Linked DNA regions of Drosophila melanogaster. The protein of the gene in region 1 purifies or fractionates together with the protein of each later gene. This does not show direct contact. Each region holds a gene or a part of one and is shown on either strand. Other genes may lie near its edges.

Region 1 (4,884 bases):
TCCTACGTTCAGCACGCCGAGGTGGTGGCCCAGCTGCAGCAGGTCACCACGGCGTCGGGCCCATCGGCTCCGTCCTCATCCAGATCGTCCAATCTTCAGGAGCACCTCAGCAGGCTGCCCAACCGCATGGCAGCCGCCTTTGGTCGGATGTCGGCCAATCTGAATTGCTACCAGAAGACTGTCGCCACGCCGGAGCGTCACTCCAACTCCTCCTGAGGATCAGGACGTGGACGGAGGGGCAAACAGAACCCAGAAACCAAAACTCAAACTGAGACAATCCCAGTGCAGCGTGTGCCGCCACCATAAGTTAAAAGATCAAACGCGAAGCCACATAACAAAATCGCTAGCTCGCTACTACAAGACTGTCATGGATCAAAAACCAAATGTTCACCATATATATCTCACCTATTGGAATGCAGCTCGGACGGATTTTTGAGTTGTGGCACTCTTGAAAGCGAGCTGGTAGAATGTAGAATCGAAATCGCAGTTAGCTAATTGTACTATAAACTAAGTATTATTATCTAAAGCAACCCTCTCTCCTACACACATAAGTATTGCAAAAAGAAGGGCCAATCGAGCTTTTCGTAATCGCTGGTATTCTTGTAATATTTCATTGTATTTATTTGAAGTATGGAATCTAAATGATGTGTTACTGTTACGTGTAAATACGAGATACGAATGCAGCTTAGTTAGTGTAAAACTCTCTCATTAGCCAAATTTCCAAATGTAATTTTCGCCTATTTATGAATATACTTTATTTATTTATTCGAAGTGATTTCGTTCGCAAGCGAGTGCTTTGTTTAAAAAGAAAAAACCCGTCAGTTGTACACGTGTAGAGCATTTGTAAATACTACCGATTTTCGCATTAAGCTGTAGCTATATTAATATAATGAATTATAAATCATGTATTCCTACCTAGGTGGTTGCTGTTATTCGTAAACATTCAATAAGCAGTTGTTTCCAATACCTATTTAATGTATTTTACATATCTCACATGTTGATGAGCATGCGTATCAATATTCAAAAACAAAATCGAAAAAAGAGTCAAACAAATAAAGTTGATCAAGATATTAGAAAAAATCTCAAAGTGTGTTTTGAATCAGAAGTGTGGAATCATAATCAACCCAAATGATTGATGTATTTTAATATCTTTAACAAATGAATGTTTAACTCATTCGTTATTTTCATTATAAAGTCGTGAATTCTTTATAAAATGAGAGTAATCAACTAAAATCTATAGATTTCTATTTATTTTATTTTATATCTATAAAATATCTATAGATATTCTATCAAGATTATGCTGAACTAAACCTTTTTTACTTTCTTTTATGGAATTCGAATATGCAATCTTAATGAATTCTGTGTCGCATATTTGTAATCTTTTTGCAATTTTATTTATATATTTTTATAAGATGAATTAGGTATGCTTTTTTTAAGTTTAGGTAAATGTGGAATATTAGTTTGTATATCAATTTAAAAATCACACTTTTTGAAACGTACGTATAAATAAAAATTAAAGGGGAGAGGTCATATTTAAGATGTAATTCAAGTGAATTACAAAAATTCAAAAATTAAATGACTTTATCATTAATTTTATAGTTGGAAACAAAGCCAGCTCAGTGAGAACTGGTTGAAAATGCCTATCGGACTATCGATGAGTATTCATCGCTAGTGGTAACTTGCGACCAACCCGAGGCTGGTCACACTGCTCTGGTCGCGTCCAAAAAGTGTACAATTTTTCACCACCTCGGTTTGTTTTTTCGGACCAGGCGAGGCACCTTCGATTCGCTGCGACTTCCGTTTCCGATCCGTTTCGGATGATAGCTCTGAGTGCGCTGCTAACCAAATATACGATCGGTATTATGAGCAACCTAAGCAATGGCAACAGCAACAACAACAACCAGCAGCAGCAGCAACAACAACAGGGTCAGAACCCACAACAACCAGCACAGAATGAAGGCGGAGCGGGAGCGGAGTTCGTGGCGCCACCGCCCGGACTAGGTGCCGCAGTGGGCGTGGCAGCCATGCAGCAGCGCAACCGCCTGCTGCAGCAGCAACAGCAGCAGCACCACCACCATCAGAATCCCGCCGCCGAGGGAAGTGGCCTGGAGCGGGGCAGCTGCCTTCTGCGCTACGCCAGCCAGAACTCCCTGGACGAGAGCTCCCAGAAGCACGTCCAGCGGCCAAATGGCAAGGAGCGCGGCACTGTGGGGCAGTACAGCAATGAACAGCATACGGCGCGCTCCTTCGACGCCATGAACGAGATGAGAAAGTAAGGATGGCACGAGATCCTGTCGAAGGATCAGTTCGTACGACTATAAAATTTGGTTAAGTCCTTAAGCATCATAAAGAAGTAGCCAGGGTTTCTAAAGACCTTAAGGCAGTATATTTAGATCCACAAATAGTATTATATCCTAATTCCTACCTGTGAGAGGTTTTAAAAACCTTAGGTAGAACATTGGTTATTTTGTACCTGCCCTGGAGAATAGAACACACAGCACCCACATAGGACTTTTAATGATATGCAGAATTAGATCTATGTGATTTTATAGCCTGATTATGTAAATAAGCACACCTACAACGGTTCGAAAAATGTTTCAAATGTCATTTGTTTGCTCAACAGCAAACCAGCTGAACGTTCGTTCAGGTTCTAAAAAGGTGTCAGCTATTTCCCAGTTACTATTTCCTTGACAAAACAAGCTGATCTGAGTTTCTACCACTAAAACTTTCAGTTGTTAAATATGACGACCTACCTCAACTTAATATAAATAGAACTGTGCTAACTACACTCTATTATAAACTCATCTCCTCTGTTCCCGGACAAAGGCGCATGATTCAATCCCTGCGTGTTCGACGGGAACAGGTGGACCGACTGGCTCTCGAGCTTTGAGATTTGGGCCAAGATGCGAAAATAAAATCTCTGAAAATGTCAGATGATCGTCTCTCGCATATTTGCGCAGTTCGCTTTGTTTATCTGGCCGTTGCTAATATTTGTGTTTGCACACTACATATGTATAAACGAATATTTGCCGCCGCTTTTGTCGTGGGGCCATTCGCATTAATTATTGTCTAGTTTTTATTATGATGAGTTGCTTACGCCTTCGGGTTTCGCATTGGGCCACGACCTTGAACTTGGTTGCGGCCAAAAATGATATTCGTTTTCGAATCGCATTTCGATTCCGCTTCCGCGTCTCCGCCTTTGCTTACTTTTTGGAAAACTACTGGGCGTATGGAAAATTTATTGGTAGCTTACATAAAACGAGTTTTTTTTTTCGGACCAATCATATCGTATTCGGCGCGAAAGTGAATGTGGTATAACCCAAAAAGTAAGCCGAGCGTTGTAATGTGGATTGCTTTTTGATTGGGAATTGAATCACACAAATATTTCGTGAGGTGTATATTCTATGAGATTTTTTTTATTGGGTTATAATTATAACACCTTACGATTTTGAAGACAAAAGATCTTAGTCTTTTCGAGTAGTCATCATCATTTAATGGCGCCATAATTTGCACAGTTAATAGCATCCCCGTCTCTTTTTACAAAACAAAATATTTTCCTCTTGAAAAAATTCAAGCACTTTTGTTTACAAACATACATACCAGCCTTGAAGATATTTAGCACGCTTTTAAACTGTTTATTTGGCAATCAAAACGATCTATTGCTAGTGGATTTCAAAGTCTCAATATTGTCGATACATGACGGTTACTAACCAATTTACTGCGTACAAAAAAATGTATCAAATCTGATATATATATATTTTTACCTATAACAGACAAAAACAGCTCTGTGATGTGATATTGGTGGCCGACGATGTGGAGATCCACGCTCACCGCATGGTGCTGGCCTCCTGCAGTCCGTACTTCTATGCGATGTTCACCAGTTTCGAGGAGTCGCGGCAGGCGAGGATCACCCTCCAGAGTGTCGATGCTCGGGCCTTGGAGCTGCTCATCGACTACGTATACACTGCCACGGTGGAGGTAAACGAGGATAACGTGCAAGTCCTCTTGACCGCCGCCAACCTGCTCCAGCTCACGGATGTGCGAGATGCCTGCTGCGACTTCCTGCAAACTCAGTTGGATGCCAGTAATTGCCTCGGCATCCGGGAGTTTGCCGATATTCATGCCTGCGTGGAACTTCTCAATTACGCAGAGACCTACATCGAGCAGCATTTCAAGTAAGTGGCTAGATTGTGATGACGCAGTATGGGCAGACAAATATAAAATTGTTTTGATTTGCCTGTTTACAGATAGGAATCCATTACTGTATCTGTTCAGTGTTCACTTTTAGAGCATGTATATTGGGAAGACTCACTTTAGTTTGTTCTATATCTACGGATAGTAATTCGTATTTAAATTCCAGTGAAGTGACTATTTATTTATTATTTATTGAGGATAGAAAGCTGCCGTACAACAATATCAATTGAATCGATTAATGGGATCAGATATTTTAATAATTATAGTAACATTTAATAACATGTGTCAAGTTAAAGTTCCTTAGACTCAACAAAAAGGATTTTTAATTATATTATAAAAACGATTAAATTCCTAGGTGTGTTTGGAATGTATCAAAATTTAAATAGTTTAACAGTCACGCATTGGTGTCTTCCAGCATCTGTTTGAAGTCGCTAATTTTGGGTTTCCATAAGATCACGAATTTAATCTTATATTAATTATATTTTCGAATTCAACTACTGAATTAGTAATAACCAAAGTATCAGAATTATATAAGTTCTCATTGATTTCATCAGGCAGAAACAAAATTAGTTAATTATTAAGTTTATATAACAGTAAACAGACGCAAAACCGAAAGCAAATGTGCAATATAAACCATTGAACCGGTTGCGATTAATTAAATTTACTTAGCCCACTCCTCTCATTCCTTGC
Region 2 (4,919 bases), on another chromosome or scaffold:
TAGGTTATATCATATTTCGTTTTTTTTTCTGTGTAGATACTTTTATGTGTCACTTTTTTTTAGCGGAAGCAATCGTTTTTGTATTATTTTTGTTGTCTTTTTACACTGAGTCTGCTTCACCTTTTCAGTATTCGTAGTGCAAATGGAATTCAATACAAATAATGCCTCAACGATTTTCGAAAATTCTCTAAATGCAACTTGCGGTGTGCAAAAAACCTCAATTGAAACCCTCAACCAACGAGTCACGTCTAATTTGCGAATTGAAAACGGACAACAGAGCAAGAGGAACAAGTGAAAAGCTTGATAAGGGGTGATAAAGGGGGAGGCAGCATAAGCAATGAATAAATAAAGCCCACTGCCCATGTATTTCTATGAGTAAATTCGAATTAGCAACAAAAGCCAGCAAACAAAAAGAGCAAATTTTTATTTTATTTTTTTACCTTTTTTATAAGCAATGTGTGCGAAATGACGTCATGTATCGCAAAATATGTAGCTAAGGCAAATGGAATGCTCGAATTTGATATGATGAGTATATAGAACAGGAAGTAAGGTAATAGAAATCGAAGAATGTTGTAAATAGGTAGGTAGTTAGTTGGTGGCAAAGGAGAAATTCCTTATAACTTAAATTGGGAATGTTGTTGGCTTGTTGTAATGTGGATATGTAGGTACTTGTATAGAAACAGCAATCTAACAAGAAAACGTAACCAGCGCGAAGGTTCTGATAAGATTGCGGGAGAGCACACACACAATCGAACTCCTATGACTTGCATAAGAACATCTATAGAAGGCTATATATAAAACAAAGTTTTATAGGAAACATTGCTAATTTAAATTATATTAAATTCTATAAGCGTAATGTTTCATTTAAGCATAGCGCATTGAATTGGGTTAAAGAATAATTAAAGTAAAAGGTTATCAATTCCTATTCGTTCAAGATTACAATAAATTACAGAAATATCAAGATGGGCTCTGAATGACAACAAAAAATTTAAAAATCGAACTGACTGAGTATCAAGAACTACCTCCGATACCTATAAAGTCTATTTTGTAGGCATTGGGTTGCACTGACAAATGGCATAAACAAGTTTTCAATATTTACAAATCTGTTTATCACTTGTTGCTGCTTTTCACTATTTACTTTGCTGAAAGGCGAGAGACCAAGGAGGAAAAGTGGGTCATGAAACTTGCCCACAGATGCGCGCCAGCAGGCGGATTTATTGCCCAAGTGCATTAGGCACACGGCTAGAGATTTGCAAGTGGCATTCGCAACAAATTGCCAAATAAAAGATGAATAAAATCAGCGACGAGAATTGGAAAATGGGTTTTTTTTTTAATCTGACAAGCGCATAGAAAGCCGGAGGTAGAAAGAAGCATGAATCATATGGAAAGGAAAAGCACACGCACACACAATCACACCCACCCGAAAAAAGAGAAAGAGAGAAGAAAAGTGGCTAGAACTAGAAGCTCAAACAGTGGCGTCTGAATGGGGGTCAATGTGGTGCTACACCTTAAACATTTGCTCATATTTCCGGATAAATTTAAATATAATATGTTCTTGATCTTAAATGACATTTATGACCCCTGAATAATAATCTGTAGTTTCGCCACTGTCTATGAAGCATAACAACAAAATAGACACACTACTCACTCACACACGCCGTGTTGCGTGAGCTTGACCAAACCCAAAAAACAAAAACAACACTTATTAGAGAAGCACAAAAGATGGCGTCACCGGCCGAATTGCCGCTCATCGTCATAACGGTTAAAACGAATGCAGGGCACGAGGGGACATTCACTATTTAACGGGATTATAACACATCATCCGGTAGATGCAAGAATACTCACCGGTACTTTTAGTATTCTTTTAAATTCGTTGATCCTCCAGTGGCCGCTAACACAGGCACAGGTCACAAATACAACGGTCACACTCACTGTATGTGTTAGAGGAGAAACGCACGCGTTTTTTATAAATGTATTCTCGCTCTCGCACCTCGGTTTTTGGTTTTCAGCCGCTAATTCGTACAAACACACATACGCCACAGAGGGAGACTATCAATAAAAGGGGAGGGAGAGGGTAGAAAATTTTAATAGATTTAACTTTTTATTGCCTTGAATGCAATATGTTTAAAATAAATAATTTTGTTCTCTTTTGGGCTTCTTGCACTACACCAAATAACTGTTAATATTTTTTTTTTTGCAAAATTGCCGCTCCTAACAGCACTTAGCACTTTTAATTCTTTGAATTAAATTTTAGTTGCACCGCAGCGAATAAATATTTCAAGTTGAATTGCCTACGAGAACTTAATCCAAAATCGTACGGACACGTCCGACGGGCAGAGCACGAATGAAGCGCAAAAGAGAACTGCGCACGGACAGTGGCAAAGAAGCCGAGAGAGAGAGGGCGGGCAGTGTTAGGCAACGTCAAGTGGAGATGTTGAAAACAACTAAACTGAAGTAACTTCCAGACAAACTGGCTTCCAAACGGGGTTAACTAAATTCGGTAAACAATCGAAAAGCATTAGTTTGCCTTGCAAATCACTCAAATTGCGCAAAAGTGTTCAAGAGAATACGAGAAGAGAGCGAAGGAAAGTGGGAGAGAGAAAGAGAGTTCTTCATCCTGCAACGCCCAAATATACACGCTTGTGTGTGTGCGAGAGAGTGTATGGGGAGGAACGAATATTTGGAGCAAAGCGCAGGGGAAAATAGCGGTGCAAGTCCTTTTTGCCACCTTGACCACAAACAAAAAACGCCTTTTTTGGCGCTCTCTTCGCACTTTTAGGTATTCTTCGCACAAAAACTATGTCAATTAAGCCGCACACGTCGATTATGTCATATTATTTATACGAATACACTTTCACACACAAGCGCCGCGCCATATACACACATTCGTGTCCGTGCGTGTGTGTGTATGAACGGCGTCGCATTCTCGTCACCGGCAATGCCGTGAAAAAATCGATGGTCAATTTGCTGTACGGGTGTATTCGCCTCTATTTTCTCGTTTCATTTAATAAAGTCTATCACTAATTTTAGAAGCCCACTAATTGGTCAATGGGTTCGATAAAACCACTGCTTACAATTTGTAAATGCTGAACTTCACGAAATTTCGCCCGCGTGATGTGTTTCGTTTTCGATATTTCGTACTACGATTTTGTTAGGGATGGACAAACCTGACGCATGTCAATGGGTCGATATTTGTTTGAAATATCGATGCTCTTATCGAAATATTTTTCAGTAAAATCGGGCGATTATCGATATATTTACATTGAAATAGGGCTGGCAAATCACAAATTTCGGCAAAATACTTCGATAAAAATAAATACCAAAACATTCGATAGCAGTCAGGTGTTGAGCTACAGATATAAATATTTGTAGTGAGTAAATATCTCCGTGCGGTGAAGGTGCGTGGTTCCGTTACTTTATTGTTGTGCTGTGATTTTGGGGAGTGAAAGTGCGTGATTCGATTCGGAAATCGTTCTCTCGACCAATCAAGGTCCGTTGGAAAATGGGCAAATATATATAGTATTAGAAATATCAAGTGCCTATGACGAATATACTATTCTTTACGAAAATATGGTGGTCACGGGAATGAGCCAGGCCAGAAGAATGCATTAATTACCAAACCTGTTTGGGTTTCGCCGTAGAATTACCAATGTTCGCAAATACAATAACAGATGGGTCAGCCAATCTAGCATATTTCGCCCCAATTAAAGGCCAATTTACTATTGTCACAGAAATATATACCCTATATGTGTCGTACATATGTAGTAGTTCCATGGGTCAATGTCAATATCCCGGCTTAATATGGATAAAAAACGAAGCTTAATCTCCCGAATGGCGCACACCCTTTGAGTCACTAGAGAATCTCATGCTTCCGAATGATGTCACACAATATAGCATATATATATAGCGGCTACATATGTATAAATACAGCATTGTATATGTAGAAACATTTGAATTATATTTGGGTGCGAACCGAGACATTCTTGTCTCCAAAGTATAATTTCAGTTTGCGTGAATTAAAGTAATTTCATTTAGCCCGACTTCCAGTCACACTGGGAATACTAACGATTCTGTAATGCTCGTTAAACCATATTTATGTCTCTGGGTGTGCTTTTAATTCCACCGCGAGGCTTATAAGTAAATATGGGCGATATAAAAAATATTGGATGTTGCTAACTAGTCATCAAATGTTTGAACAATAAATATTTATTAATGGGTTTTTAATCTGAGGCGGCACCTTACACTGCTAACTGATATTAAACTATATATGTACATATATTTTCAGATATCTGCACGATGGACGACTTGAGGGGATTCTTGAGGCAAGCGGGACAGGAGTTCCTCAATGCAGCTGGTGAGGCTGCAATGGGAGCGGCCAAGGATGTGGTCGGATCGGTGATCAACGAGATCTTCATCAAGAAGGAGGCCGACACCAAGAGGGTTCTGCCCAGCATCAAGAATATGAGAGTTGTAAGTTGACCCACACGGTTATCAACAGTTATTTATAGGGCGCTATACTATACTAAACAAACATAGAAAACAATCCATTGAAATCTACATATGCATGTTAACAAATACATATACATTCCACTCATTAGCAACCATTGCAATCTCAAAGTAATAGTACGTTGTACTATGGGAACGTAAGTACCTACTCCCGTCATCGTAATGGCATTGACATAATTCCATTCCAAGGATAATGCGCTGCCAAAGTGTCGTACTGTGTTGTCCTTGTGTTCTTTTTCTTTCGCATGTAAAGTGTAAAACGCATCATCGTTTATACAACTCCATTACACAACTTTATCGTGTACATACATAATACTCTTAATCAAGTTCATCAATTTTGTTAGATTCATATCACTAATAGCATGTATTTTTTAGCTGGGAGAGAAGAGCTCGAGCCTGGGACCCTATTCCGA

The links.
Region 2: the proteins of kel (region 1) and hts purify together in Drosophila melanogaster (affinity purification with mass spectrometry, with the first as the bait; one study listed by BioGRID). This does not show direct contact.

The regions. Positions count from the first base shown.
Region 1 is NT_033779.5:18,134,865-18,139,748, reverse strand, and holds the start of kel (kelch), read left to right. Parts: upstream 1-1,665; 5' UTR 1,666-1,817; coding exon 1,818-2,272; intron 2,273-3,773; coding exon 3,774-4,175; intron 4,176-4,884. UniProt on the Drosophila melanogaster protein: Component of ring canals that regulates the flow of cytoplasm between cells. May be involved in the regulation of cytoplasm flow from nurse cells to the oocyte during oogenesis. Binds actin.
Region 2 is NT_033778.4:19,421,749-19,426,667, forward strand, and holds the start of hts (hu li tai shao), read right to left. Parts: upstream 3,156-4,919; 5' UTR 3,075-3,155; intron 2,367-3,074; exon of another isoform or gene 2,050-2,366; 5' UTR 1,846-2,049; intron 1-1,845. Other genes in the region: CalpA (Calpain-A), read left to right, coding at 4,297-4,470, 4,599-4,643, 4,882-4,919. UniProt on the Drosophila melanogaster protein: Required for assembling actin at ring canals in developing egg chambers. Probably interacts with other developmental proteins involved in nurse cell/oocyte transport through the ring canals. Important for normal neuromotor function.